Linked DNA regions of Lepisosteus oculatus. The protein of the gene in region 2 interacts with the protein of the main gene of each other region in a pairwise test. Links are inferred from orthologs where the notes say so. Each region holds a gene or a part of one and is shown on either strand. Other genes may lie near its edges. The genes, in order: kctd9a, ehhadh, fundc1 and desmin.

Region 1 (7,561 bases), on a different chromosome or scaffold from region 2:
TGTCTTGTCCAAGACAAGGAGCAGCAACATGTTTCACATTATATGTAACTGTTTGAGGTTACTTGGTATGAACGCATGACATTTGGTATGATGGGGATGGTGGCTATAGAAAAGGTGATCTATGTTTCATACAAACAAAAGTGATCACTGTGGGCAATGAAACAATGATCATTTCAACAGAGCAATGAAGACATGAGAACGAGTGAGAGAATAACTGCTGAATTTCTTTTTGTTGCTCTTAGTTGCTACTGTGTAATTTAATTTGAAAATATATTCAGTCTCAAAGAAGGATTTTTTCCCTTAGTTTTTTTTTGTGGTCAAATGTAATGCATGTTTCCTGCCTGGGGCAGGAGTATCCCTGTTGTGTGCAAGCCTGCAGGGGTGAGACCTGGGTTTTTGACCTCTGCCCAGAGTTGAAAATAGCAATGCGAACATACCTGCCTTTTCATCTTAGCCAAAGGGCCTAACACAAATGGGGATTACACAATAAACAGCTTGCACAGCTTATACCCACACAGATTACTGATTGAGAGATTTCTTAATTGCTGTTGTTAATTATGTATTTCATAGTTATATTTCTAAAAAGAATATTTCTGAAAAGACTCCTTAAAGGTCTGCAGAAACATCAAGTGCTGCAAAAACAAAACTCCATTTACTCCACATTCATATTTTTCCTTTATTTTCAATATCTTTTTTTTCCCTTTCAGAAGTGTGGAGAGATCAGTGCTGCAACATTCTTAAAAGGCACATTACCGTGTAGTTGTGAAACACCGTCCCCCAATGTTTAGCGTTAACCAGTCGGTGTGGGCACCTGAGAGCTCATCTGAACTTCTCTCTTCATTCTGGGGGTCTGGCAAAGCATGAAATTAGACGACCGCACAATACACGAACAACAACAAAAACACAGACTTAAAATATACCGCTGCCGGAGAGGGAAGTCTGGTGCCAGACTAAGTGACAAACCCACTTGGCTTCATTACCACATCACCGCCTGATCTCGTGAAATCTCAAACAAGGACGAAAGTGGTCAGTGGCGTTCTTCCAGCCTAGTACTGAAAACCAGATTGCTGCTATAAGCAGTGCTCGTGGACCTGTAGGGGGCGCTTTTTCCCGTGGACCAGAATATCCAGGATTCTAATGCCCCAGCATGGTGACCAGGGGCACTGCGTGGCATGGGCCCATCTTTCAAATGAGAAGTTAAGCCAAGCTCCTGGATACCTAGCTATTAAAAGATCCCTCAGCTCCATTCAGTAGAGCAGGAGTGTAAACTCAAGCATCCTGCCTAAAGGGTATATTCAATCTGGCCTACCAAAAGTTTCCCTTTAATTCAATAGGTAAAGCAAATTCATTCTTCTCCACCTAGGACAGCAGTTTTCAAGTATTTCCACAGACTGCAGCGCAGTGAAGCTTCTGACCTATAACAGCTTTAGCACCCAGTTGAGTCCTACAATTCCTTAGTAGATGATGACACTTAATGAACCTATATCTCTTTTAGGGTGAAAGGCACACTAAAAACTGCAGGACTCACCTACAAAAGAGTCTCCTTCAGAAACATACAACACATCATCGTCCCTGCAGGATGAACAAAAATAACTCAATCACACTGCAATATAACAACAGCACTGCCTAACAGAAAGGTCACAGCATACAACTATCAAATAACAAGCATGTGTCATTATCGCCAAATGGGCTTAGCAACCCCGTTTTATCTGAATATCTGAAAACCCAAAGGGAGCATTAAAACCCACATGAAGTCAAAATACGGAATACCGTTTAAATATTCAGGTCTACAACATTGGAAAAGTTCATTTAAAAAGTCACCATACATATTGGCCTTGAATGAATTCTTCAGATTCTGTATATCTACCTCCTCCTTACCTGATGAGAGCAATGTCATCAATGAGCCCCCCTTTCCCATTGTAGAGACAAGAAGCCTTGATTCCCAGCTTGTTGCTCGCCACAGACAGCAGGTCTGCCAAAGTTCCATACACTGCTACTACCTGAGACACATGCAGGGAAAGACCTTTTATATCTCTAAGGAAACTAGGACTTTAACTGTATTAGGGATGTCAATATTGTTTACAGAAGAACCCACCCATTTTAATCTTCAGATTATATTGAGCAGGCTAACAAATGGATCTCTATTCATCCTTCACATATGTAGTACGACTTTGACTGAAGTGTCTCTTCCAATAATGAAAAGTGACAGGTCTAGGTGTACTTTATCAGCTGCCACGCTATTTCATTGATAATACTGATGCTTCTTTCAACAAAACAGTAGAAACACACAACACATATACATAAAAAACCTTTGGAATGATATTTGAATTATTATTCATTGCACCAAACTGTCATATACAACAACTGCAATATATAAGCAAATGCAATATATATAATATATATATAAAGCAAATATATAAGAGAAAATGGATGGAGCAAAGTACAGGCAAATCTCAAGAGAAAATCTTCACTCTGTTAAAGCCCTAAAACTTGGACAAAAATTCACGTTCCACCAGCAATGTTCAAAAGTATTTAATAATAATTCCACTCAAGTAACTAAACTATTGCTTGAATGATTACGAGCAGATAACTAAAATCTTTTACACATACAGTTAAGATTGTTTTAGCTCATTAAAACTGTCGATTTTGCAAACGTTAAGGGACTGAGTAGCACGACACGTTGGTAAGTACAAACAATAACTGTTACAAAGCTATGCTAATTAATGCTCGGTACCAGTGAGGTGACTTTTCATTTCATGATTGAATAAATTAGATCTTATAAGCAAGCTGTTACAACTATAATAGTTAATATTTCTTACCTTGCCGTTTTTGGAAGTTCCATTTACAAAGAGAGTCACTCTCCTCATTCTTTGTATGTAGCTTAAGATATTAGTTACAAAACTATAATAAATATTTACACAAAACACAACTTTATAAAAAACTGCCTATGAAAGAAGTGGAAATTTTCACAGAAGACAGACTACCATGCTTGAAGCTCATCACTCCGCCATCGCCCAATCACGAAACGGAGATACACCTGGTGAACTGTCGCGACCAACCAAATACAAGAAAATGTAAACCAGGAACACAATGAAACCAATAAGAAAAACCACAGAAAGCAGCAAGTTCGGTTGCCCTGAAATTTATGACTCATGTATTTTAAAGTTAAAATCATTCTGTCAACGTCACGGAAACTGCACTTCACTGAATGAGACTAAAATGAGTTACCATAATTACTAGCCTGCCTCAAAAAAGCCAAGTTCATTCACGCTTAAGTTTTAGTTGAGAAGTATTAAAACATTTTTCAGTTAATAATGTTTTACGTACCGTATTACATCGGAGGTGATATTTATGCGTTGAGCCTCATAAATTGTCATGCTTAATGCTCTACAATTATGTTCAAATCTGAAAATCTCTGATGTTTTGTAGAAAAGGAACCGACGTATTTTTTCTCCACATTTTCTTGGATGCTGAGGACAGCACCGTTAAGCGGTCCAGTTTGAACAACTTAAAGCATATCCAACTTCTCAACACACCGAAAATTATTATAGTAGAAATTATCAGCATGAGGGGTGAAATGATTAATTCCGCGGTCTACAAAATAAAAAAGATAATCAAAAAGACGGAATCAGCAACCATTAATTTATTATTTAGATTTACAAAATTAAAAGCAACACTTCCAATATATTTTACATTTCAGTTTTCGGTTTCTGGGCATGTGTTTATTTTACAATACTATCCGCTGTATACAAGGCTGATGAATTCACCTGCTTTAAAACATCAGAGCAAATTAGCTTCCCCAATACAGACGCAGAGGCTTTTGGGCCGAGAAGGCAGGAGGGGACGTGGCTGGGATCGCGGAGGACGGACTCGGACATAACAAACGCTGCACCAAGCAAAACGCTTCAAAGATTAAGCCAATTCCGTTCGTCATCCAGGGCTGCAAGTTCTCCGTGTTTCTGTTCTGCTTGGGATTCATCACCTCACTGCATAGATTGCTGTGTTTGGTTGGATGTGTTCATTGCTTAAGGTTTTAAATCAACCTTTCCAATTTTACAATAATTGACAGCCACATTTTCAAACGATTTCAATAGGACTGCAAGTTCTCTACTGCAAATTAAACAAACAATAAACAAGCACGGTGCTTGGAATGCAAGTACAGAAAATTTAATTCCAGTTTAAATAACTAAGGGATCATTTAAGAGTCGTGACAGCTGAGTCATGATTTAATTTTACTTTACTAACCGTTATTTCCTCCCATTAACTGATGGACAATTTAATTCAAAAGAGGGAAAAAATATTCTTGTTTTGACTTTAAGGAGACAGGAGAAACAACTCAAACATTTAAGGCAGCATAAAAATGAATTTGTTCAGAACCTCAGTGTCAGAACTCATCATTTATGTGTAATGGAGGGCATTGTCTCTAGAGACAGACCTTCCCCCTAAATCTAAAGGATCACTGGGCTTGGACTCTGTTATTCAAGATCAGAAGCATAAGTCCATTTGGTTGTTGAGCTATACAGTGTGCCTCCTGGACAAAAGGTTTACAGCACACCTACAATTCCACTATCTGTACTCCACTTTGACGTTTATAAAGATATGAGGATTTAGCACAAATATTTGAAGGAAAACAGTGTTGATGGTGAATATTTACAAGTGCAATAGGTGACCACCCACAGTGACTGCTTTGGAGCTGATTGAAGGACTTCAAAGTCCAAGGTAACCTGCAGATTTAAACTGACAGCTGAAAATATTTTTGCAAGCCAAGTTCATCTGTTTTGGAATGGCCATTCACATCTTACCATGATAAACAGCCCACACTTCTTCAGACACTGAATATATCATTTAAATCTTTGCATTAAATGGTAGAGTAGTAACAGGCTGCAGTATTAAAATACTGCAAATATCTCCCCAATATAAAACATGTAAGATTTTCAGACATTTTCCATTTATTGTGAGTTTTTAGCCTCTTTCAAACTGCTGTTGGACATTTTTTAATGCTGCTTGAAAGATAGCCAAGAATTTCTGAAACCCATTCACATGATCTTCCTCCTGGACTTCATTATCTGGAAGGAGGCAGTCAATGAATAATTCAATTTAACTACTTAATCCCAATACAATTTCAATCCACATATTTTATTCCCTACTTTAATCTACATATTCTTTAATTATTTGAGTTTAACCAGACAATCTGAAGGACAGAATTGTGATTTCTGAGTTCTCTCTATACCACAAAAGTAATTTACGGTTAGGGATTGGATATAGCTCAAAACAGAACATGCCTTGCTAACTTGCCATTATCTGTGCCCTAATAATGAAACGCCTAAAGCATTAATCACAGCAACAGATGCACGCACAGGCAGTTGAGAATTAACTCACAATGAAAAGGACCACTCATTCTCAGCATCCTATGGAAAGTGTACAAGTTTCAGAAAGCCATAAAGACAACAACAGCTAGGTGAACTTGTCTTCAGGTGTCAAGATTCAAGGGGAATGTTTATATTTTAATATTATGCTAATAACTCTATCACGTCTAATACAGGAGACATGTTTTTCAATTGATTTTATACCTGTAAGAGGTAACAATGATCATACTGATTGTTGATCATTTCCACATCCAATAATGAGAATTGGTGAGAAGCAGATTGCATTCTCCGACACATCTACTAATGGCTGGAAATGAATATTCATGGATAATTAAACTGACATACAAATCTCAAATTATAGCCTGGCCACAAATTCAAGTTTTAAATTGTTTACACAGACACAAAGATACAAACGGAGAACTTCAAACAGTATCATGGTCAAAGGGGTAATAAGCTATACTAAGTTATTAATAAGATCGTTTTGCAATTATAGCAGGGCATTGCACAACTGCTGATGAACACGTTAGCCAAACACTATTTCCTCAGCTCACTTTTTCCTTTAACTGTATAAAATGGGAAAAGCAAATCAAAGCGTGTAAAACGTGGAATGTAAGCAAGGAAAAAAGTCAAAACTAAACCACATCTCGAAAAGCTAGCTAAAAAAAAGCAAAAGCTGCACTCTACACCACAAGCTACATCTGCATGCTTTATGAGGTAACAAAATCCCATGAGAATCTGTGACATTTTTCAGAGATGCTGACAGCACTGAACCTGGGTTCTAGAGGAAATCTTTCAGTGGATGTTGCTTTGAATTGCTGCTTATGTAGCAGGGCAGTATTGGAGCTCCAATGCTATCTACTGAAAAACATGTGTTTAATGTTTTGTGCTTGGACTCTACAGTACTCTACTGTATTAAAACTGTATGGGAGGTTCCTGCCCAGCTGCATGACTCCATTACCATTACCACACATAGACTGGTCCTGATTAGTGTAGCTGTACAGTGCTCTTCTGTGTATTATTTATCAACATAGTCAAACTGACAAACAACTATTAAAAATGAAGATTTTTTTAAAAAAATGGGCTAGCAACCCATTTCTTTCAACATTCACCAACGCTGCAGAACTGTAAAGACTGGAACATGGAAAAGAAAACAAGAACGTGATCAAAGTAGAACTGAATTTATCCAGTTAACAAGAACATTAACTTCCATTAATGGCAAAAACAACTCATTAGAAAGAGCAATGATATCACATGGGCTTAGATTAACATCTTTATAAATACTTCATGCTTTCGTTTAGGAATGCAGCCATCAGTTTCGCCCAAATGTACAAATATAAGAGTCCACTACAGAGGGAGCTGTGTCTGAAAGCCTGCTGTGTTTGACAGATCTGGGGCGGGTGGATGGGAAATTGACCAAGACTGTCTGCCCGAACCTTCTGCCAGTCCTGGCTGATATGCCCCACGAGTGTGTGTGTAGAGGGGCATCAGCTGGCATGCCGGGCTCAAGGATCCTGGCTTCTCCCTGTAAAATGTGGGAAAGGGGCCTTGGGAAGGTGGAGGGGCTGGATTTGAACCAGAACGATTGGGGCTGGGGGGGGCCTGTCTTTTATTAGAAGGTCTTCCTATGGATGGCGCGAGCTCCATCCTCTTCATATTCCTTCTTGGAGACCCACATCTTCTTAAAGGTGTCTAGAGAAGCCAGGATTGACCCCCTGCACAGAATGAGAGAGAATACGGGCATGTGACAGGCTGCAGGAACTGCTTAGAAGTGGCTGGGGTTGTGGCAGAATAATCATAACAGATAATCATATTGCATGCACCTGGACTGGGTTTGATATTGTCAGTAACGTGAGCAACACTGCACTCACTGCAGAAAGGTTTTATTTTTAAGTCCAAATGTCAGAGATGTCTATCCTAAGACTGCCCTTACTGCAGCACAGTTCCCCCATATTATCACCATGCCAGTGAACTGGAGATACAAAACGACCAAGCGCCACCTACTAACCCACCAAAATCCTTTGCTGATTGCCTGCTCCCTGGCTAGCACTGCTAGGCTTCAGAGTTGAGGCTGGGGTGATGACTATTTATGTATTATTGACACACTGTTGCCCATAAACACAGTTGTAACACACTCAGTGTAATGTAAAAAAAAGAAACAGAAAAATGTGAAAGAAAAAGGAACATATAGCCACTGT
Region 2 (7,802 bases):
TCAGTTTGTTTGTTTCTGCACAGTCTGAGTTTCAAGAAAACCCTACTTTAAGCGTTCTGTTACCAACGTCAGCCTATAGAACCTTAAACAGTCTTTCCTCAACATGCTTTACCTTTTTTTCTGATTAAATAAATATTAACTGGTGATCAATTTATGAACAGGTGTGGGAAGTGCAATGATCAAACATTCCCACAATAAATAAGTTCCTTCTGGGGTCCATTATTTTGTATTTCACACATCTTAACAAGGGGAGTGCTTAAATTCACAAATTACAAATTACAAATCCCATTCTACGCTGAATTTACCAAAAGCAAACTGAAAGAATTAAGGAAATGATTAGGATGCGATTAAGAACTCAGCTGGAATTAGTGCAGAAGACATAGCAGTCTTACAGGATGAGGGATGGAAACCAGACAGGTCTCTAGACAAGAGTACGACACAGGAGGGAAAGCTCAAGTCTCAGATTTACATACAGATCACTTCCTGATTTGAAAGATCAGCTTTCTCACATCGTAACATCAGTGGCCACCTTTTAAAAGTGGCAGCACACATTACCTCTTGTTATACTGTGAAAAAGTTCATCTTTGATGGGGCTCCCAAGTGGATTATTTATTATAGACCTAATCATGCAGTTTCCAGCCATACATTATGTACATTAAGAGAACTGCAGTTATTAATTTAGTTGAAATTCATATAGGGATGTTTGTTAACTTAAATTCTAAAATATGAATAACTGTAAAAGGCAGTATTGTAAGTGTAATGTAATGTAATCACAGTTGTAATGAAAACCACATTCATGATGGTAATAGAAATATCCATTATTTATAAAATTTAAAATTATTGCATAATCATCACTTACTGAATAGTCCTCGAGACTTGCATGATCTATACTAAGGACGTGTGGCCCCTTTCCTTGTGTATGTATAATTACAACTGAATTTCAGCTCACACATCTGGATGTCGTGAACCACTTTCTTAATTTGTACAAGTTGTCCAGGTCTCTACTTTTATTATTTTTAAAGTTACCCATTGCTCCATCACCAATACAGTAGATAGCATATCAACAGTATGTTTCCACAATGTCAGTCAAAGGTCACCTTTAGCCTACGATTCAGTATGACCCAATAACACTGCAGTAACAAAAATGCACAAAGGGATTTATGAATAAGGAGGCTTTACCTAATATGCTTATAGCACCTTTCAAAGAAAACGTTACTGTTATTACTCATTCAGTTAGTTTTAGTGTGTCTGGAATAATTTTTACACAACACACTGTTTTATAACAAAGAATCCTTCTCTGGTATTGCAAGTACAACATTGTGTTTCATGGGAATGCAGCAAGCCTACTTCCAATCAGGTCCTTTCTGAAGTGACCTAGTTTTATTTGAGCCCAAAATGATTACATAATGACATTCTCTTTTCACAAGGTCACAGTGGCATGTTGCATGTGTCTGTATTCCTTTTTAGCTGGAAACATAGTTCCCTCTGGGAGAGTAAACACAGGTTCTAAATTTCACTCTGTAATTTAAAAGTGAAAGAAATAATACTCAAAAATAAATAAAATAAATATGAAGTTTAAAACTTGTTCATCCAGATTTGTTAAAAATACAGTTCTAGGTGAATGCATGGGGATGTGTGCCTGAAGAACAGGAAATCCAGACAGAATGGAACCCTTGATTATATTGATGAATTACCAACAACAAAATTCCTTTTCTTTTATTCACCAGATCAGCACTGCTCAGGCACATTCTTGTGACTGCCCATGCTACTTCATTTAAAAAATAAATACTGGACTACACCACAGATTGTCTTATGACAGTAAAGTCCAGCTTTTCAATGGTGGAGACCCTCTAGTTAACAAAATCTGAAACAAAATCTCACACGAGCATTTTGGGAACACATGCAGTTGTCTGCTCACTGTTTGCTCCTTCCTCCCTACATTATGGAATGTTTCCTTCTATGGAATTTTTTATTTACAATGGATTGATTAGACTGGTAAATTGGCACTGAGATATAGCAGTTGACCATGCTCCCTCACAGCTCTTGAATATATGCCAGGCAGGGGTGCATTCTGTATGGAGTTTGCATGCTCTCCCTTTATTTTCTCCTGGAATGGACTGGTATCCCATCCAGGTGTAGTTCTGCTTTGCACCCTTTGCTTTTGGGATTACAGTAGATCCGGTTTGTCCCCAACCCTTTCCAAAAATAAGTGGCTTTCTTATAATGGATGGATGAAGGATGATTTGATAGGCTGACATAAGCAGTCCCCCTTTATATACCACCACTGTTTACTGCGCAATCTTGGCTGGTTTATTTATATGGTTAAAATTCCAAACAAACTAACAAGAACACAGCCCTCAACAAAACGAAATCCGAGACTGATCTGTTATGAATCTTACCCAACCCTTGAGGAAGATATGCTAGCTCAAAACAGGTGTTGAATACTATGTGACCGTATCACTATCACTTCTGAGATGGTGTGGCTCAAACGGGTTTTAGAGCACGTGGAATTATGGTGCTCAGCACATTTGGTCGGAAAACTTGCATGGCAGTGCTGCAAATGGGATCAGGCGGATTGCAGATTAGACATGTTGGGGACTAACTTCGTGAAACATGGCCATCCCCCCAAAACAGGTGTCTGATCTTGTGGAAAACCCCAGCAGAAAGCAAGATCAAGAGCAAGATCTACAGTTACGTGGTGCTATAAATAGGTGATCATCACAGAGGGGAAGAAAATCACTGACCATATTACATTACTCCTTTTGAATTTGAGCTATACATTCTTTATATATTTTGTGTCACCCTGTGAAAGGAAATAATAAGAACATAAATCTATCAAGATATTATAAACATAAACATCACAACTTACTGTATGTTGTGTGTAGAGCAATGTAGATCTTACTTTAATCACTTTCATAGTGTAGGCCTTACTTTTATATTTTCCTTTTAATACAAATGACTGTCAGCCACTTCATAACTTTAAAAGAGTAGGGCTATGGTGGTGATACACATTATTTTTATATCATAATAATAAGGTAACATTACAAACTAACCCTATCCGTGGTTACATAAAACAGGATATTACATACAAACTGGAGACTGATTTTTCTGATTTCTTTCATACTATCAAACCTTTAATGGCAGCACCAAATTTGGCAACACATTTCTCAAAAATGTTTAACTAAGATAAATAAAATCAATTGTATCAATACCGTGATGCCTCTAAACCCATAGTGCTTGTCTTGCTTTTGAACATTATCTTCAAAACTTAATGTATGTAAAACCTGACCATTCGACATCACCGATGTCTTAAATATTAAATAAAAGGTGTCAGTGTTACCGCTGCAACAGTCCAGGAAAAGCGAACGTACAGTCAAATGAATGTCGTTACTGGGTCTAGTTATTTCCATATTAGAAATGCATGCATTGCTACACGTATTATTACAGTAGAAAAGTCGTATTATTATTGCTATTATTTACGCAAATAAAACGTGCATCATAAGACTAAAACGTACCTTTGTGGAGATTAGGTACTCGACTAGAGTGCTCGCTTTCATACCAAAATTCATTTTTAACATGCACACAGATGTAATACGCGTTATTAGTAATTGATATAGTTGAAGCTCTATAGTAAAAGTTTTACTAAAACGCATGGCTTCAAAACCAATACAGCCATGTTTAGAATACATGCTAGTCGCATTTAAATAAAGCGGGAGCCTGTTACTGTATATGTAAGGTTCTTCTGTGTAGTTGGGAAGTAGTTACTGTACCCTCCAAGTCTTAAAGATGGAAGTCTGTATTGATTATAACACCCCGGTGACAGTGTCAATAAATAAGCATTATTACAAATCATAGAATTACGCGTTCGTTGTGTACTCAGTTATTACATTTCACTGAGCATTTATTTTTTAAATGAACTTATTTTCTCAAACCTTACAGCATCAACTACAGACATCTTCCTTCATAAGACACGTCGTTGATTTTTTACTTTAAAAGCATATTCCACATACTCAACCTTAAAAAATGTTAACGTAGTACAATATTATTCAACAATCCCCGCGGTACTAAAAACAAATTTTAATGTCTACATTATTCCATAATGGTCACTACCACAAAACGAGAAAACATGAAATTGCCAACTTTTGATTATGACATTTCCCATGAGTCTGGATGAGAAATGAGACAAAATGCTTGCAGTAGCGGTGTCTTTGTCTGACCAAGAACGCAGTATCAATTATAACTTACCTATGTTCTTCCGACCCCAAGTCGGGGTCCGAGTTTTCATTGGACTTGACCGGCTCATCCCCTGTACGAGGGTGATGCGGCCCCGGGGGCAAATAAGTGGAGAGAAGGTAGAGATAGAAAGTAGCCGCAGTGACCAGTAAAATTAACCCCGATATAGATCGCATGGTCCCAGGGCTAGCACTTCAGAGGCTAAATCTCTAGCTCCGGAACTTACAGAGTGACAGCAATGTTGTTTGAGCACTGAGCAACTTAACCTCTCCCTACAGTATCCTTGTACAGACAGCGGAACTACATTACTGTGGTAACAAAAATAAAGGGGAACATTAAGAGCAGTCGGACTGATAACAGTAAGACGGATCACGTATATCCGTCAAAATATCTCTGCCAAGCTAGCGTCGCTAAATGCAGCTAGCATCACGCTACTCGATGTCAAAGTCCAATGTAAAGTCAGTGTGGTACTGGCGTAGTTTTGCGTCAGATGCACATGGCCTTGTAGCTTTAAACGTGGACTTTGAAGTTACGTATATGCTACAACCTCAGATTTAAACATGTTGCAGAGAACTGTTGTTTCTTTTATCAATAAATGTATTGCTTCTTAACAATAAGCGTTGCTCAATTAGATATAGACACTCATTCAACAAGAAAACCGATTCACTTCCATTAATATCTACATAAAGATGAAATTTAAAAAGTATAAACAAAAATAATGGTGTGGAATTTTACTTGTGTAAACTCGGGAGTTTGACCTATCTGACTAGCTGTGTGCACTCATATCTTCCTTTCGGGCAACTAAAAAACATAAGGTTAAATGTTTTGGTTGGCAGACTACATTTACGTATTGCGGTGAGGATCTCACCTGGTTAAAGTTCAAGGTTTCGTAGGTATTTCACTAGCGCATCTGTTAGTGGAACGATAGTATTATCAGTCTCTGTGGAAAACAAAATGGCAGTTTATACTCGCATTCCTGGCTCCGTTGCTGTAATAACGTTGACTAACCCACCCGTCAATGCACTCAGGTAAGCTTAATTTAAGTAAAAATAGTTATGTATTCTTGCTGGTAATGTCATTGACAACGCAACAGACTAAAGTTGAAAGGAAAAGTACTGTAAGGATTTTTTAGTTAAATATTTTCATAGGTTACTGGGCAAACTATGTAAAATAAGTGTGCTGCTATAGACATCTGCACTAGCTGTGCAAGAACGGTGTGTATGCCCTTAGTAGCTATACTGTACACTGAGCTGCAACATTGTTTTCACCCTCAAGCTGCGTGTTCCGGCTTTATAAAATAAATGTCTGTCATAAATTAACATTATTAAATTATCACCACGAAACATACGGTACACCTATTGCCTCTTTTAAAACTTTATATAAGTTATGAAGGGTAATGTAGTCTTTGAACTGTGAACTGTCCTTCACTTTTTTCTTGTCCGTCTGTTTATTTATGATGTCAATCAACATTCCCTTTAACAAAGCCCTCAAAATATTTTCTTGCAGAAACTAGGAGGGAAATTATATAAAGTTCATACTATGTAATAGCCTTCACCAGTTTGTACCTTCTGGTTTGTGAAGGTTTGCACTTAATTTAATTTGTGAAAAGTGCTCTTAATTTAATGCAGATCTATAATTTAGGAGGTATGAATTCACTGTATGAATCTGTCTGTGCTATGTACATTGGGAACACTGCAATGTTGATAATGTGGATTGTTATAATGTCCTCCAGCTCCACAGTACGTAAGGCCATCAGTCAGACAGTAAGCAGAGCTGGTGCTGACTCAGAAGTAAAAGCTGTTGTGCTGTGTGGAGACAACAGGATGTTTTGTGCTGGTAAGGAAAGGACTGTGTCTGTTATTGACAAAGTGGCAGTTAGGTTCTTGGTTGAAAGTTGAGTGGCCATTCTTTAGCTTGAAAAATATAGCTTAGTATGAGCACAGTATGAGCTATGTAAACAAACTGAACTTGGAACATTAAAATAAGTTATCAAATGCCTGTGATATATTAGTAATTCTGAAAAAAAAACGGGTGTGGTCCAAGCTAATATTCAGTATATATGGGCTTTGTCTGAACACTCAGATGTTGTTTAGCAGGTACAAACATCAGCTAGCCAGTGCTAGAGCTGATAGAACAGTAGGCACAAGCTAAGTAAAGCCTAAGCTAAAGTCTGGAGAAAACAGTTGAATTACCTTGGAAGCAGTAATATTCAAGGAATGCCAAACTCATTAAAAGCATTTAGATTTAAATTAACATTGGATTTAAAACATTATGCTTTAAATCTACTTCTCTTCATGAAAAATCAATAAAAACACATTTATTTTATTGAAATAGGTAGGTCATGTACCTATTTGGACTTTGTAACATTGATTTTATCCCCCTGAAAGTGCTGTAAACACAGCTTAGCTGGAGATTATTTTTGAACATGGTATGTGAAACAGTGCACATGAAACTGTGAATGCTTTTAAGTCTGGCTTCACCAGACTGGAAAAAAGGCAAATATTAATGACCTAGCAGCAATTCCATTCATATATGAGAGGCCTATAATAAACCCATTTATTTGTTCTCTTAAAAAATGTGCAAATTCATAAAAATGTTTAAAAAATATTGCCAGTTCATATTCTTTTCATCCTCTATTAGTGTAATTGCCATTGAAATGTACTGTAGGCAGTGTTCTTGGTCTCTTTTGCTGACCAGAAGCTGCTGTCATGTTTTTTGTGGGTGCAGGGGCGGATATCCGGGAGTTCTCGGGGACGATGTCCGGCCCAGCCCTGGTGCCCCTGATCGACGAGATTGAGGGCGGCGAGAAGCCCGTGGTGGCAGCAATAGAGGGCGTGGCCCTGGGGGGTGGGCTGGAGCTGGCTCTGGGCTGTCATTACCGCATCGCTCACTCCGAGGTAAGGTCAACCAGCAAGCTAGGACATTTCTTCTCTTTCCTGCACCATCAGTATAATCATTAGATGCCAATAAGTCCTTGTATGTATCAAACTGCTACACAATGTTAGGGGTCTGTTGGTTTCTCGTGTCTGGAGAAGCTAGTAGGTCACAGGTAGCACTGCAAACAAATAATTTCATTAGAGAAAAAAATGTGTTTCTGGTTGTGTGACAGGTTGAACATGTTTCGCTTTATTTTCTGTGTGTACTATTTGGTTATATTTTTATTTTCAGAACTTGAATAAGTCACGTATTTTATTGTATACCATCATGTTTATAAAGAGGACTTTTTGCGAGAAATAGGTCTTCACAGAGTGAAAATTCCCTTTGGAAATGGAGTTGTCTGTTTTCTCCTGAACATGACTTGAGTTCTGCACAAGTTACTGCTAATTTGGGGAATAGTTTGTGCAGTGAATTGACATTTATATCTGCATTAGTCTAATTTCATTTAGTACCTAGTGATCAGAGTTATCTAGACATTTGTGTTTTAGTGGGAGGTAGACGTTCGTTGCTGAAGTCATTCTTTCTCATACTGTTCTCCTGCTCTTGGTGCTGTAGGCTCGGGTAGGACTCCCAGAAGTCACGCTGGGTCTTCTTCCGGCTGCAGGGGGCACACAACGCTTGCCCCGGCTCAC
Region 3 (7,787 bases), on a different chromosome or scaffold from region 2:
TTAAGTAATGCCATCTTCCAAGCCACATAATCAATGACATTGAGATATTACATGACCTGCAAGAGTCTAGTGGAATGGTACCTCCTACACGGTAGCAGTGGCCCAGGTCACCAAACTGTCCAGAGAGAACAGCTGGTCTATGAGCTAAACTTACAGCAGCAACCTGGTTTTTCCTAAGAGATCTCCCATCCCAGTACTGACCAGGTGCAGCCTTGCTCCGCTTCTGCGATCCGACGAGATCAAGCTACAAGCCCGTAACGCTGCTGCTGCCTGATATCTGAACAAGCAAATTGGGAGCCCCCTTGCACACCTGTGCTGATTATGGGGAAGGGGGGGGGCAGGAAAACTCACATTTCAGCCCTGACTTGGCACTGCATCTTATTGCTGCGTTAAAGAAGCTCCTGTCCAGCAGACGATATCCAGCAGACGCCAGCAGCCATTTCACCCTGCAACTCACAACTCGCAGGCCTCTGAAGCTCAGCAGGTGTGAGCCTGGTCAGTACCTGGATGGGAGAGCTCCTGGGAAAAACTAAGGTTGCTGCTGGAAGAGGTGTTAGTGGGACCAGCAGGGGGCGCTCACCTTGCGGTCCATGTGGGTCCTAATGCCCCAGTATAGTGACAGGGACACTATACTGTAAACAGGCGCCGTCCTTCGGGTGAGAATAAAACCGAGGTCCTGACTCTCTGTGGTCATTAAAAATCCCAGAGCGTTTCTTGAAAAGAGTAGGGGTGTAACCCCGGCGTCCTGGCCAAATTTCCCATTGGCCCTTACCAATCATGGCCTCCTAATTATCCACATCTATGAATTGGTTTCATCACTCTGTTCTCCTCCCCACTAATAGCTAATGAGCGTTCTAGCTATTATTATACAAGTAGTTATGTACAGATAAAGGCATTCCAATGGGAACTCATTTCTTTACTTAAGTGAAATAACCTAATATATATGTACTTTAAGACAAATCCATAAAGTACCTTTAAAGAGTCTGTATACTTACCAGCCAGTTACACCACCCATCATGATCTGCGTTGCAACAGAATATTTCTCGGCAATGGGTCCAGAATTCTGGCCAAAGACGCGACTCCACCACTGATGGCGTCTTGCATAATCCGAAAGGTCCACCACTTCGTACGAGTCATCGTCACTGTCTTAGCATTTCAAGACAAAACCATGCGTGTCAGTTTGCTACTCTCGGTTCATCTTTACACACCACCACTCATGATAGACAGTGTCATCGCCCAACGAATGCACTGAGTTTTATCCATATAAAATACCAATGAGCACAAACAAATTGTCTTTAACAGGAATGACATAATCATGCCTTCTATCTAAAGAGCTCCTCGCTGCAGCTCAGACCGAAATGTATTAATCAACTCTTTTTGTTTCTCTGAGGCAATCTAACGAAGGATAAACTCTTGATAATTTCACAGAAGGCTCTCCCTTTTGACAGAAGGCTATCCCTAACAGATTGCTCAGATTACTTTTTATGACTTTGCTAGATAAAATACTGAGCAGAAGACAATCACTCAATTTATGCAGATGTCATCCATCCATCTTCTATGCTTTTTATCCAGTACAGGGTCACGAGGGTGCCAGAGTCTATCCTGACAAGCAATGGACACCAGTACACTGCAGGGCACACAGACACAAACACACTCACACCAGGGCCAATTCTCCCAGAAGCCAATTAACCTACCAGTGTGTCTTTGGACTGTGGGAAGAAACATGGAGCACCATGAATCTTTCATGCAGGTTTGTTTTATACACACAAAAATAAATTCTACATATTTGGGAGACTGAGTAATTGTTTTGGGGTCATTTTGATTTATTGAATGCTCATGTTGCCCGTTATGCACTCCAGTGACTTTGACTGCTGGATCAGCACTATAGCAGCTCAATAAGGGGAAAGCTGATCACATATGGGTGATGAGGTAATTTAACCATTTGAATGTCAACAAAAAGGGAAAATCAAGAAACCATAAACACAGAAAAAAAACAAATGCGTCCCATTTATGTTGGGAACAATATCTTTCTGCCATCGGTATGATGGAGCCTCGGCTAAGTAAGAAAATTGTCGCTTTATTCTGTCTTTTGACTGGCACTTAATAGTCATATTTGTATTGTTCTTATAGGAATTGGATTGTCTTTATTTTTCCCCAGTTCAACAATATCAAACGTTAAGATGGCAGACACGAAAGTAGACACCAGTTCCAAGTTCCCCACTGAGGTAAGAGGGCATATGTAGACTGCTGAGATAAAATGATTGTCGGCAGCTACATCAGCCTGGAATGCACAACTGGCAACCCACTGAAGCACAGCAGGTGTGAGCCTGGCTAATACCTGGATGGGATTGCTTTTAATGCAACATAATATACAAACAATTGGGTGATGAGTTTGCATATTTACACTATTACATGGATAAGAAGAACATATGGATCAATATCTATGGCACTTGAACTGCCCTTGACATGACAGCTCGTTTTATAACAATGGGATTTAACATTTTTAATTGATATGACTCATATAACGGTCTAAGTTTGCACTTCCAGATTTGAAGAATCATCTAGTTTAGCAAAATCTTGTATATTATCAGAACATTGCGTATACCGTATAATCGTTCCGTCCAGCTCAATTCCTTATTACTTTAGCCATTAACATTTTGTAATGCGGCAAAACGCGAAAATCTAAATACAGTTCTTAGAAGGTAGTGTAGCTAACAGTCTGAATGTATATGTAAACATAACAATTTCATTCTACAATTCTACAATTTCACTTCCTCAAAAGACGACGCACAGACTAGCAAATCAAGAACAGGATTGTATTTGTTCATTCCTAAAGACACCGTTGTTAATAAGCTCCATTTTTGTTTAAATGCCACTAAAACACAAATGCACTACTAACCTTCTCTGCAGTCCGCCATTTTGCAGTCAACTGCTCAGGATGTTGACAGTGCCAAGCACCCGGTGTACTCCGCCTCCTCCACCTCGGTTCAAGTTGTTTAAAGAGCCAGGACATCTTTTTTCTTTCTGCAGCTCTGGCGTTTCGTGAGTTCCAAGATGGATTACAAATGTTTAAAGTTGTTTTTCTTCCAGCTTTACGTGTCCTAAATATTGTTTTATTTAACAATATAACAATAAAATCTGCAACAAGTAACCTCGCAAAATGTATTAAGTAACAATCTCAATATTCAACTTGCATCCATTACTATCCGGCGCTGGGTCCCTGTCACGTGTTTCAACTGTAACCTCCACGCAAAATATGCGGATTTACCCACAGGATATTGGCGTGACTGTTTCTCAATTGTCCTGTGTCGTTACCATCTTGCACCGTGGCTTTTGCAGCTCTTGTGGTTTATCGTAGCTCTCAAGCTCAAGAGGTTAAATTTACCTTGTGCTGCAACTGCATTTACCTTTCCCGGTTTTATTATACCTTCCTAATTGATATGAGTGATCTAGATTCTCATATAATCAGTCGAGTAGCTCGAAGACGACACCAAAACAGGAGGTTTAGCAAACAGCGTGAAAGCAGAAAAGGAAAATAAAAAAACTACACATCTGTCATATGGCATTTACGTCATTTACGTTCTTCTGACACGAATACAATAGCAGCGTGTTACATCCAGGTAGTAGACATATAAACTATAGATACGTGTTGTTGGTTAGCTGTTCGTTTGTAGTTCCCAGCAATGTTACCTTATTCTGAAGATGTGGAACAATGAGTGTATTTACACAGCTGGCTGGGCTAACACAGATATCACAGCAGTGTTCCTAATAATTAACTTATGCTAAACACAGTCACTGTTCCATTGTTAAGTCATCCCTATTAAAACATATATACTCAAAATTGACCAGACCACTCATAGTGATGTCATTATGCCAGCATGCTTGAGGAAAGAGGAGGAAAGTCTGAAATAACAGAAAGACATTATCATCATCACAAGAGGATTCTGTGTAAGAATAAATTGGGCGGAGCAGTGGCTCTGTGGCTAAGGATCTGTGCCTGTGGCTGGAAAGTTGCTGGTTCAAATCCTGCAGCCAGCAGAGGAATCCTACTCCGTTGAGGCCCCCTATGCAAGGCCCTTAACCCCAGCTTCTCCAGGGGTGCTGTATAAATGGCTGACCCAGCACCCTGACCCCAAGCTTCTCTCCCTGTCTGTGTGTCTCATGGAGAGCAAGGTGGGGTATGCGAAAAGACAAATTCCTATTGCAAGAAATTGTATATGGCTAATAAAGTGATCTTATCTTATCTAAACTACCTCTAAAGTGTCTGTATACAGTTCAGCAAAAAAAAGTGTTTGCTCCCTTTCAGATTCTCTAACTTCACCACTGAATGTTTCACCACCACGTGAACAAATAACACCAGCATTTGGTGCTTGTTTCAATTGTTTTATAAACAAAGTAATCCCACATCAAATATCCCCGTGTTAAAAAGTGAATGCCCTCTGTAGTTCAATCAGTTTAATTAAGGGATAACTAGGGCCAACTGAGTGAGTACTTTAATAAAGTCAGGACTGATGTAGCCCAGCCCCACTCTCTATAAAACTCACAGACTTTGGCTCTCCTCATCTCAGTGAAGTTATTCAGCCAATTACTCTAGCCATCATGATCTGGGGGTGAAACAGAATATTTCTCGGCGATGGGTCCAGAATTGTGGCCTGAGACATGACTCAACCACTGATGACGTCTTGCATAATCAGTAAGAGCCACAAATTTTAGTCTTGGACACAGAAGACTATGAGGTGACCTGGTTGAAATATTCAAAATCCTCTGAGCCACTGACTTGAGAATCAAAAGCAAAACATGAGTCACAAGTGGAAACTAAAATTAAGTGCATGTCTTTACCCAAAGGGTAGTTGGGGTAGGGAACAAGTGACCCAGCCCTGTTGCTGAAGGTGATATCCTGTCTTTCAACATACAGCTTGATCAATTAATAACTACAAAATGTTATATATAATTTCTTCTTATAATTTTCCATGCTTTTAACATTTTTTCATTGGCTTGTCACTCTTACCTCTGCCATCACAATGCTGTATCACAACGGCTGTCAACACAGGACTATAAGAAAAACAAACCCATCTGTGCCCAATGATATAAAGAAGGAGATTAAGGTTTTGGTTTAAATGACAAAATTACAAGGTTTGAAATAATACTCTGGCAATTTTGCAGATCTTCTATTCTAGCTTTTAGATATTGGTACTGTAGCCTAGGACATAAATGTGTTTTTATTTTCATAGTACTTTTAATATGCATGTTACTTTTTCAGAATGTATCATCTAGTTTTATCATAAATCAAGAGTTTTAGGATATATCGGAGCTGTAGTTTCCTTGGAGTGGTATTTCATTAAAAGGTTACATTTTTTGTATGATTTTAATTAATAGAGCACATTTAATTTTTTGTACCTAAGTGAAGGAAATCATCTGGATGTTTCATTAAGCCGACCAGAAATTATACATTCTATGTCCATGGGTCCAGATTTACTACTTGTTTAATTTTTATCAGCGTGTTTAATTTCTTTTGTGTTTGAGATTGAATTGTTTGATTGCACAGATGGATTACTGTATTTTATTCATTTATTTTTAGCTGGTTCTGTCCCTCTCTTTTTGTCCAGTTTTGAGTTTATCCAGTAAAATGAGCACATTGGGGTGCAAAAGCTTGAGATTTCCTGTAAGAATGGAGTTGCAAGTGTTCTTCATCCCTACTCCCTCATAAAGACATGCTGCCTAAATTAATTTGTCTCTAAATTGTCCAATTGTGTTGTGACCTGTGATGTACTGATGTCCTGTCCAGGGTGCGGTCCTGTCTTGTGTCCTGTGATGGACTGGTGTGCTGTCCAGGGTGCGGTCCTGTCTTGTGTCCTGTGATGGACTACTGTCCTGTCCAGGGGTAGTCCAGTTACTGTTTCAGGGCTTAATTGATTGTTCTGGATTGATTGACCCTTTCCAAGAATAAAACATCCATGTTATAGAAAATCTGTTATCTTTGTGAGCTGTTGTGCAGGCCTGAGAAATGTTTAGCTTGCAATATATCTCATCACATGTAAATTGAACAAGTGTTTACGGTGTGTGGCGCTGTTTTGAATGATGGAGGATACAGAAAAAAGTAGGTTGTATTTTTTTAAGTGTGCTACTGCAAATGAGAAGAGGTCATTCAGCACATCTGGCTCATTTAGTTTTAAATTTCTCTTAAGGTTAAATGCTTCTTGCAGTGGGTGGGTAATACAGTAAATGTCAAAGAGTTACAGAGCTGGGGTTGCACTTACTGTAATTCCTTGAGGTGGTTGTTATTGATTGGCCAGTGAGACCTCTAACATATTGGCCCAAAGGCTAATATGCTTTAGGGCTTCCAGCAAGCGGTGTTCTAAATGAAAGTGAGAGATCTTGTGATCCTTAGAAATGAGACCAGATACAGCCTCCGGCATTGGTGTAACCTGAATCATAATCTGGACTGGCCAAAGGCAAAAGGTCAAGGAATAAATTCCTTGATTAGAATGACACCTTTCGGGTTTAGAGTAAGAACAGCAATTTAATTAATACATAATTGGATTTGTGTAGGGGCAGCACGGGGGCAGAGTGGTTAATATTGCTAGATAGATAGATAGATAGATAGATAGATAGATAGATAGATAGATACTTTATTGATCCCGTGAGGGAAATTGCTATGTCACAGCACGGGGGCCCTGGCTTCAATTCTGGACCTGGGGTACCATCTGGTTGGAGTTTGTATGTTCTCCCAATGTTTGCACGGGTTTCCTCTGGTGCTCCGGTTTCCTTCCACAGTCCAAAGACATGCTGGCGGGTTTGTTGGCTTCTGGGAAAACTGGCCCTGGTGTGAATGTGCCTGTGTCTGTGTTAGTGTGCGCTTTGCAGTGGACTGGAATCCAGTCCAGTCTGCATCCTGCCTTGTGCCCACTGCTTGCCGACACTGGCTTGCAACCCTTAATTAGATAAAGCAGTCAGAAAATAGATGGAAGGATTTGTGTAGTGTCTCTTTCAGAGTTACTTTATGTAATAATAATTCCTTACAGTTACATAGTGCTTTTCTGGACACTCCACTCAAAGTGCTTTATAGGTAATGGGGACTCCCCTCCACCATCACCAGTGTGCAGCCCCACCTGGATGATGCGACGGCAGCCATAGTGCGCCAGAGCTCTCACCACACATCAGCTATTAGTGGGGAGGAGAACAGAGTGATGAAGCCACTTCAGAGATGGCATTATTAGGAGCCATGATTGGTAAAGGCCAATGGGAAATTTATCCAGGATGCCCGGGTAACACCCTTATATAAACCATCTATATAAAGCTTTATATAGAGAGTGAAAGGATTCCAGAGTGATCTGCATATAAAAAGGGACCCACTTCATCCGCCACTGACACGCAGCCCCACTTGTCTGACAAACAGCAGCTCCACTGCACAGCAGATGAGGTGGAGTAGACAGAAACTATGAACAGGTGTAAAAGCTGGGATACAACTGGACCAATAGAGGGCACACTTCCCTCTGGACCAGAACCTTCCTAGCAAGAGCAGCTCTGCAGGGTTTTCAGGGCACACTGGACTGTAGGAAGTGTCATCCTTCGGACCAGACGTTAAACTGGGGTCCTGGCTGCTTGGTCACTAGGGATCTCAGGACACAGCTCATCAGAGTGGGGTTGTTAAGGGCTGTGATCCTGCCAATTTCCACTCAATTTCTATCATCTGTCCTCACTATAAATTCCCCTTAATTCAACTGGTGAAGCAGGTTCTCACTTCTCTCCCTCATTGGCTGTGCAATGAGGTTGCCCTTTAGTGGTGG
Region 4 (6,841 bases), about 9.0 Mb from region 2:
TATTGTCAGTAATTTCAGTTTATGCAGAAACAATTGTCCATGTATGTCTATATTAACATCCCTCACGAATATTGTAGCTCCTGATGTCTGAAATATTTTGCACAGCAGTGTACTGTATTTGTCTTGTAATACAGAACTGAAATAGCTTAGAATATAGTTTAAAACAAACCCTGCTCCAGTCCATTTCCCAGTACATAATGATATCCTTTGTACACTATGTACTGTAGGTCAAATAAAGATTTACAAACTCAATCTAAAGACTAAGATTATTCATAATTTATGGTTGTCTCTTGTTGGCTGTAATGGTAAAGATGAGATGCACTTGTGTTATCATTGATCTCCATCTCAAAAGTTGAATCATCCAGCCTTTAAAATGACTATTATTATGATGATTGGATTTCGTGTGCTGTATCTTTATCTGCAAAACGTCTCTGTTTCCATATTCACTTCAAGCTTATTGCTTAGGTATGACATTGTTAATTCCATATATAGATATAAAAAAATCCAAATCAAAACAAATGAAACTTGGATCTCAGCTGCATTTGTTATATTTTGGCTTAAGATACAAATTAATACATTTGTCGAATATATTCAAGGCATTTTAATACAGATGACTTTAAACACTACAAAATCTTTTTCACCTAATAGTACTTCAAACTTCAAAGGAATATAACCGTCTTGATTACTTTTTAAAGCACAGTTGTCTCTTCTATTTGTCTGTCTGTGACAGTATGAATGTGACTGATTTTATAGTCTGCGTCTCTTGATGTCTCTTTAAAACTTAGTCATTAATCTCTAAAAAATGAAATTATAGTATGAGCTGTCCCTGCTTGAGAACATAAGAAATGTTACATATGATTTGAGGCAATTTGACCTGTTTAGCCCGTTCAATAATTAGCATCTAATCAATGCAAAGACCTCATCCAGCTGTTTCTTGGAGAAGCTGTACAAGTGACCCAGCACACAAAGCTAATTATCACACTGTAATATATAAATCCAAAGTCAATACATACGCAGAGAACTGTATTATTATTTTTTTCCATTCAAGAACACAATCAGAAATAGAAAGCAAACCCTGATTGAGGAGCTGACTAATGGGATTTCTTCGATTACTGTTCAAAGACAGCATATCACACACCCTTTACTCCATATTTTCACAATGTATTCAGACATACTGTAGGTTCTTCAAGACAGAACAACTAGTGACATAGCAGACAGGATACACACCATAAAATGCAATGAAATGCAATTTCAAGTAATGATTAGTTCAATCCAATTGATAATTTACTTTATATCAATCAAAATTAAATGCTACCCGCTATTCCAGTACTGTGCTTAGGAACCACACACACACACTGACATTTAGCATTTTGTGGGTTGAAGACACTGTACTGTCAAACACTTCATGTTCTACTAGATTTTTTAATTACTGTATTTGAGCTCTTTTAATTCTGCGGAGGTAGACTAGAAAGGGCTTTAACAATAAAATGTCTCGAAGGATATACCCGTCATCTGCTTTACTACTGTTAAAGATCCTCAGACCCCTACCATTAATTTCATATTTGAGTCAACTGTACAGTACCTTCTTCCATTCTATGTTCAAGTCTCTCTACCCCTAATTTCTAGAAAGAATAAGAAAAAATCAACAACTTCCAGATTAACTTTTTCAACCCCATCTAACGTATGTTCAGTAAATGAGAAACTTTGAGACAAGATAAAGCTAACACAGGCAATACATTTTTTTCATAGTTAAGTTAGCAACTAATCAAGTCTCATTTGGGGGGGGGGGGTTTCTGATGCTTTTTCAGTTCACAATAAAAACGGTTAAGATGTCTTCCCTCATCAATATAGTTCACACAGTTTTAAAAACGTTTGAACTGCAATAACAGAAAATATATTTATATTAGTCACAAGTGTTTTATGAAAAAAAATAGTTTTCTGAATCTTCCCAGTCATCTTTTCATATACATTTTTTCCACCATAAAACTTCCCTCACTAATACTAAAATGTAATTTTTGCATGAAAATTATTGAAACTCTCAAAGAGTTTAATAACTGAATCAGTCACCATTTAAGGTTTCTTTTTGGTCTGAAGTTTACCTGAAAACAAAAGGCTATTCCTCATCTAGTAGATTTTAGACGTTACAAATACTACCTCGTGGATTTGCAATTCCTATAAACTCGACCGATGAAAATGTTGCGTAGCGTGTATAAATGAGAAGGCAGATGCCTTTTGGCAGAAATTATAAAATAGAGCAGGAGAAGAACAGAGCGGAGCTGTCAGGTGTGGATTTTATCTGCGTTTCCTGTTCTCACCTCTGCTTCAGCTTCTGGAGGTCATCAGCCAGGTTGTCCCTCTCAACCTCCACGCGCGACCTCTGGTTCGTGAGCACCTCGACCTGCCGGCGCAACTCCCTCATCTCCTCCTCGTAGATCTCGGCCACGCGCGTCGGCTCCCGGCCCCGCAGTTTCTCGATCTCCACCACCAGGGTCTGGTTCTGCTGCTCCAGGAAGCGCACCTTCTCGATGTAGTTGGCGAAGCGGTCGTTGAGGTGCTGTAGCTCGGCCTTCTCGTTGGTGCGGGTCTGCAGGAACTCCTGGTTCATGGCGTCGGCCAGGCTGAAATCCAGGGTCTCCCCCCCGCCGACGTAGGAGCGCACGGGGGTCATGCGGGTGGACCGTATCGTGGAGAAGCTGGGGGACGCCGAGCTCCTGGACACCTGGTAGACCCTGGACGCTGTCGAGGATGCGCTGGTGGACCCTCTTCCAGAGTACGTGGCCCTGGAGAGACTGGGGGACCCCGCTCCACCTCCAAAGGTCCTCCTGTAAGAGGAGACCCTCTGAGTGTTAGAGTACGATTGGCTCATTGTGGACTTCTGGAGAGCTGCACCCTGTGGCAGAAACCTTGGCAAGTGAGGGCTGCCGTCGCAGGCTCTTGGTATTTGTACTCTCTCTGATGTCAGCTGCTGGAGGCTCAGCGCCCACGCAGACATTCAAGGTCCTAGCGTCCGGTGGCGAGTGTTATTTTAACATGGTCTGCTTTGTGTCAGGCCAGCCAGGAGAAAAGAAAAACAGCTGGAAGGAACAATGAAGGCCCTGTGCTGTGGGGCCTGCTCATACACTCAAACTCCACCTCAGACAGCCAGTGTTTTCCGAGGGGAAGCAGAAAATGCTGTTTTCTCAGGAAGAGCCATCTTGAGTTAGGCCCTTCAGACCACGTTCTCAGCAGTCCTTTAAGTGTGTGTTGGTCATTAAACATTAAGCGTGTCGAAAAATAGATCACTTAGTTTCCCACTAAAGTCAGCAAAGTTTCACTGGGTTGGATGCAGGATTGTCTGGAAACAAAAAAACGGCATTAGTTATTTACAAATTGAAAACAAAACTGAAAACATAGCTATGAAATTTCTAATTTAACTTCACGGGTACTGCTGGAGGTGCACTGAATGGCCTGTGCACTCTTCTTTGGTTTTATAATATAATCCAGGATGTGTTAGATTAAAGATAGAAAGAAACACTTAGTGCTTAACAGTGTAGACTGTGATGAAGGAATACAAATCTATGCAGTACAACCTTTGGCACTTGAGATAACAACACATCCATCTTTAGTTTTTAATATCTTACAGCATCCTTTTCAATTAAATTGGTACATAAGGAGATAAAGAGCTAAATACCAAGTATGCACTAATAATACTTTAGTATCTGATGATAATATGTCTCTGATAATACCCTATGCTGAAGGAATAATTGAAAAAAACATTAGCCTAAACTCAAATAATACCCAAGGGCTATTTTTAAAAGGTCTGAGTTACCACAGAACATTAATAGACATATCTTCCCTCTTGTGAGATATCCCTTGTATGCAAATACCCATCACTACATACTGTATATGTTCAGTCAACGCAAGATTACACTTTGCACAGCAATCTGCCACAGTAAACTATAGCATAAAAGGGAATAAAAAACAATGCAGTATGGATATTATTGAATTACTGAATATCTCTCATTTAGAAAGTCTGACTGTGAAGTACTGTAGCATTTACAATAAATATATCCTCACTTCACAGTATGTTTGGTAAAATTGAAATCTACTTATTTTCAGTACAAAGACAGCATTCGCTACTTATTTCTATTAAGCACTTAAGATCAAAAGATGCAATTTTTTCCTTTATCCTAATTTTGTCTAGTGGAAGCACACAGCAGATTTTTCAACGTAGTCCTGAATATTAATATGCTGTATCTTCTGATTCCAGTTTGATTAACACACAACAGCGTTGTGTTGCGAAGATATAAAACGTGGGTCTCGCACTGTTACCATGCTAAATGGTATTAAGTACCTGAAACCACACATTTGACCGCAGCTTAATTGTTACAAAAATGCAGGAACACTGCTGCAATTTCAAACACAGGACAAATCCCTTGTTAGTTTATTGATCTCCTTATTGATCAACAAAGACAGTGAAGCAAAGAGTAAACTGAACCAAAGGGTCTGCAGACGAGAGTTTCCATTAAGGTTTTTTTCCTGTTTAATGGCAGCTTGGAATAAAAGGAAATATGATGCACAAAACTGTGATTAAATCTACAGTAAAACAAATCAAATACTTTCTCAATAACAGACCAAACTATCTTGCAATGAACTCCTGTCCTGTACCTTGCCTTATGCCTGTTTGCCATGATAGACTCTGACTCTCTAGTGACCCTGAATTGGAAGAAACGATTAGAAATTGGATAGATGGATGATATACCAAACATATTGAGAATTCTTGTGCAGACCTAAAGGAAAGGGGAAAAATAAGGTGGTGAATTACGGAACAGCCTGCACAAAATAGTGGCCATTTATGATTGAAAGCTCCCCATACCTACTGACAGAACAGACCATGCTTACTGTGAGTGGGGAACTAAATCATAACTGAAAAGCAGCAGAATGTGATAGGCAGAGGTTCAATCTCTGCACAGCACTGTTATGAGGGCTGTGTTAGCAGATCAGAAAATAATGGAGCATCTACAGACAACTTGCAGTAATTCTAACATGACCACTTTGTCATTAATCAATGTCTAATTGTCAGTCGAGGGCAACAAGTCGTGGACACATTGTGTGAAAACACTGGGTTATTTTTTTTCAGTGCAGCAAGCAGCTAAATGTAGTCCCAGCTTATGGCTCAGAATTACTTCAGTCCATCAAACTGCACCACCTCTGACCTACCACAATCATACTCTCAGACCTTAACCATCACGTGATCCCTTTCAACCGAGTAAAGGTCAGAAAGAACATCTGTGCAGTTCACAGAAAGGGTATTATTACAAAATCTTTTTGTCAGGGAATTGAGCAAGAAGTATTACTTACTGTATCATTCTGAAAAATACATATCTCTGTCAAGAGTGGATTCCTCCCTTCAAGAAAGATTGATCAGGAGTAACTATTTTAGCAAGCAGCATAAAGGTGCAGAAAAAACACAAATCAAAAAATTCTTCGTGTCACAAATGAATTGACTATTGAAAAATACCTATTGTATTCCCAGTCACAAAAATCTGGAGATTCCAGCAAGGTATTAATTACTTTACCTCATTACTATTCTAGTCAAGAGACTTGAAAAAGCAATGAAAAGATGCTAAAAAGGACAAAAGTGGCTTGGCAAAAAGCAAAACAACTATTTTCAGAAAGGTTATGTCTCTTTTTGAGTACTACATACCCTTAAAAATACAGTACATCAACTCACTTTATCCTGTGAAAGAAAAAACAGTTTTAATAAATGAATAACAGTGCGTCGCATGAAACCCTTAATCCATGGTGCACCAGAGAGCTTCTCAGATGCAGAATTTTAGACAGCCTTTGGATAAAGTACCTGGATGGGAGTCCTCCTGGGAATAACTAAGGTTGCTGCTGGAAGAGGTGTTAGTGGGGCCAGCAGGGGGCGCTCACCCTGCGGCTCATGTGGGTCCTAATGCCCCAGTATAGTGACGGGGACACTATACTGTAAACAGGCGCCGTCCTTCGGATGAGACGTAAAACCGAGGTCCTGACTCTCTGTGGTCATTAAAAATCCCAGGACATTTCTCGAAAAGAGTAGGGGTGGTCCTGGCCAAATTTCCCATTGGCCTTTACCAATCATGGCATCCTAATAATCCCCATCTATCAATTGGCTTCATCACTCTGCTCTCCTCCCCACTGAGAGCTGATGTGTGGTGAGCGTTCTGGCGCACTATGGCTACCATCGCATCATCCAGGTGGATGCTGCACATTGGTGGTGGTGGAGGGGAGTCCCCATTACCTGTAAAGTGCTTTGAGTGGAGTGTCCAGAAAAGAGCTACAGTATATAAGTGTAAGCAATTACTATATTATTATTATTATTATTATAAAACATTACTCAAGCTAAGGCCAGCTGTGACCTCTGTAAATGTGAATATGGGAGTGAAATACAATACAAATCTACAAAACCCCAGGCAGCAATCCATCCTCAGTTGACTGCACATCATTTCTCCCACTTGTAGGATCTCACCTCCTGTACCTATGACTCTCTAAAGTTGCTCGGAATGCACTCTGCCTGAGATAGACACTGGACATATAATTTACCTGCAGTATATGCTATGAGATGGAAAAAGGAAAACAATTTTGGACGCCTTCCTTTGATACCAACAGAATGAGAGTCAGGGTTTACTTTATACCAATGAAGGCTTGCTGTCAAGAGTAAGGCCTTTTGTAACGAAATCATGGAAAAGTGAATGCCTCAAAGAAAACAGCTAAGGTTAGATGGATGGAGTTAAAAGTCTGTACAGGGAATGGGGACAACACATAAGAATTCTACCTGAAAACTGCATCTTTAACACAGGCAAAATACTTTCTTGCT

Evidence for each region.
Region 1: the proteins of ehhadh (region 2) and kctd9a interact in binary tests that used the Homo sapiens proteins (3 or more experiments, as listed by UniProt). The two-hybrid records come from large-scale screens. The link is inferred for Lepisosteus oculatus from reciprocal best matches to the Homo sapiens genes EHHADH and KCTD9.
Region 3: the proteins of ehhadh (region 2) and fundc1 interact in binary tests that used the Homo sapiens proteins (3 or more experiments, as listed by UniProt). The two-hybrid records come from large-scale screens. The link is inferred for Lepisosteus oculatus from reciprocal best matches to the Homo sapiens genes EHHADH and FUNDC1.
Region 4: the proteins of ehhadh (region 2) and desmin interact in binary tests that used the Homo sapiens proteins (3 or more experiments, as listed by UniProt). The two-hybrid records come from large-scale screens. The link is inferred for Lepisosteus oculatus from reciprocal best matches to the Homo sapiens genes EHHADH and DES.

Annotation. Positions count from the first base shown.
Region 1 is NC_090697.1:72,398,666-72,406,226, forward strand, and holds the start of kctd9a (BTB/POZ domain-containing protein KCTD9a), read right to left. Parts: upstream 3,024-7,561; 5' UTR 2,868-3,023; coding exon 2,820-2,867; intron 2,001-2,819; coding exon 1,879-2,000; intron 1,573-1,878; coding exon 1,529-1,572; intron 851-1,528; coding exon 754-850; intron 1-753. Other genes in the region: actr1b (actin related protein 1B), read right to left, coding at 6,976-7,078. UniProt on the Homo sapiens protein: Substrate-specific adapter of a BCR (BTB-CUL3-RBX1) E3 ubiquitin-protein ligase complex, which mediates the ubiquitination of target proteins, leading to their degradation by the proteasome.
Region 2 is NC_090707.1:24,619,348-24,627,149, forward strand, and holds the start of ehhadh (peroxisomal bifunctional enzyme), read left to right. Parts: upstream 1-4,796; 5' UTR 4,797-5,187; coding exon 5,188-5,261; intron 5,262-5,965; coding exon 5,966-6,069; intron 6,070-6,960; coding exon 6,961-7,130; intron 7,131-7,725; coding exon 7,726-7,802. Other genes in the region: transmembrane protein 41A-B, read right to left, coding at 4,246-4,409. UniProt on the Homo sapiens protein: Peroxisomal trifunctional enzyme possessing 2-enoyl-CoA hydratase, 3-hydroxyacyl-CoA dehydrogenase, and delta 3, delta 2-enoyl-CoA isomerase activities. Catalyzes two of the four reactions of the long chain fatty acids peroxisomal beta-oxidation pathway.
Region 3 is NC_090710.1:3,610,883-3,618,669, reverse strand, and holds the start of fundc1 (FUN14 domain-containing protein 1), read right to left. Parts: upstream 3,024-7,787; 5' UTR 2,919-3,023; coding exon 2,900-2,918; intron 1,147-2,899; coding exon 996-1,146; intron 1-995. UniProt on the Homo sapiens protein: Integral mitochondrial outer-membrane protein that mediates the formation of mitochondria-associated endoplasmic reticulum membranes (MAMs).
Region 4 is NC_090707.1:33,665,610-33,672,450, reverse strand, and holds the start of desmin, read right to left. Parts: upstream 3,008-6,841; 5' UTR 2,993-3,007; coding exon 2,316-2,992; intron 1-2,315. UniProt on the Homo sapiens protein: Muscle-specific type III intermediate filament essential for proper muscular structure and function.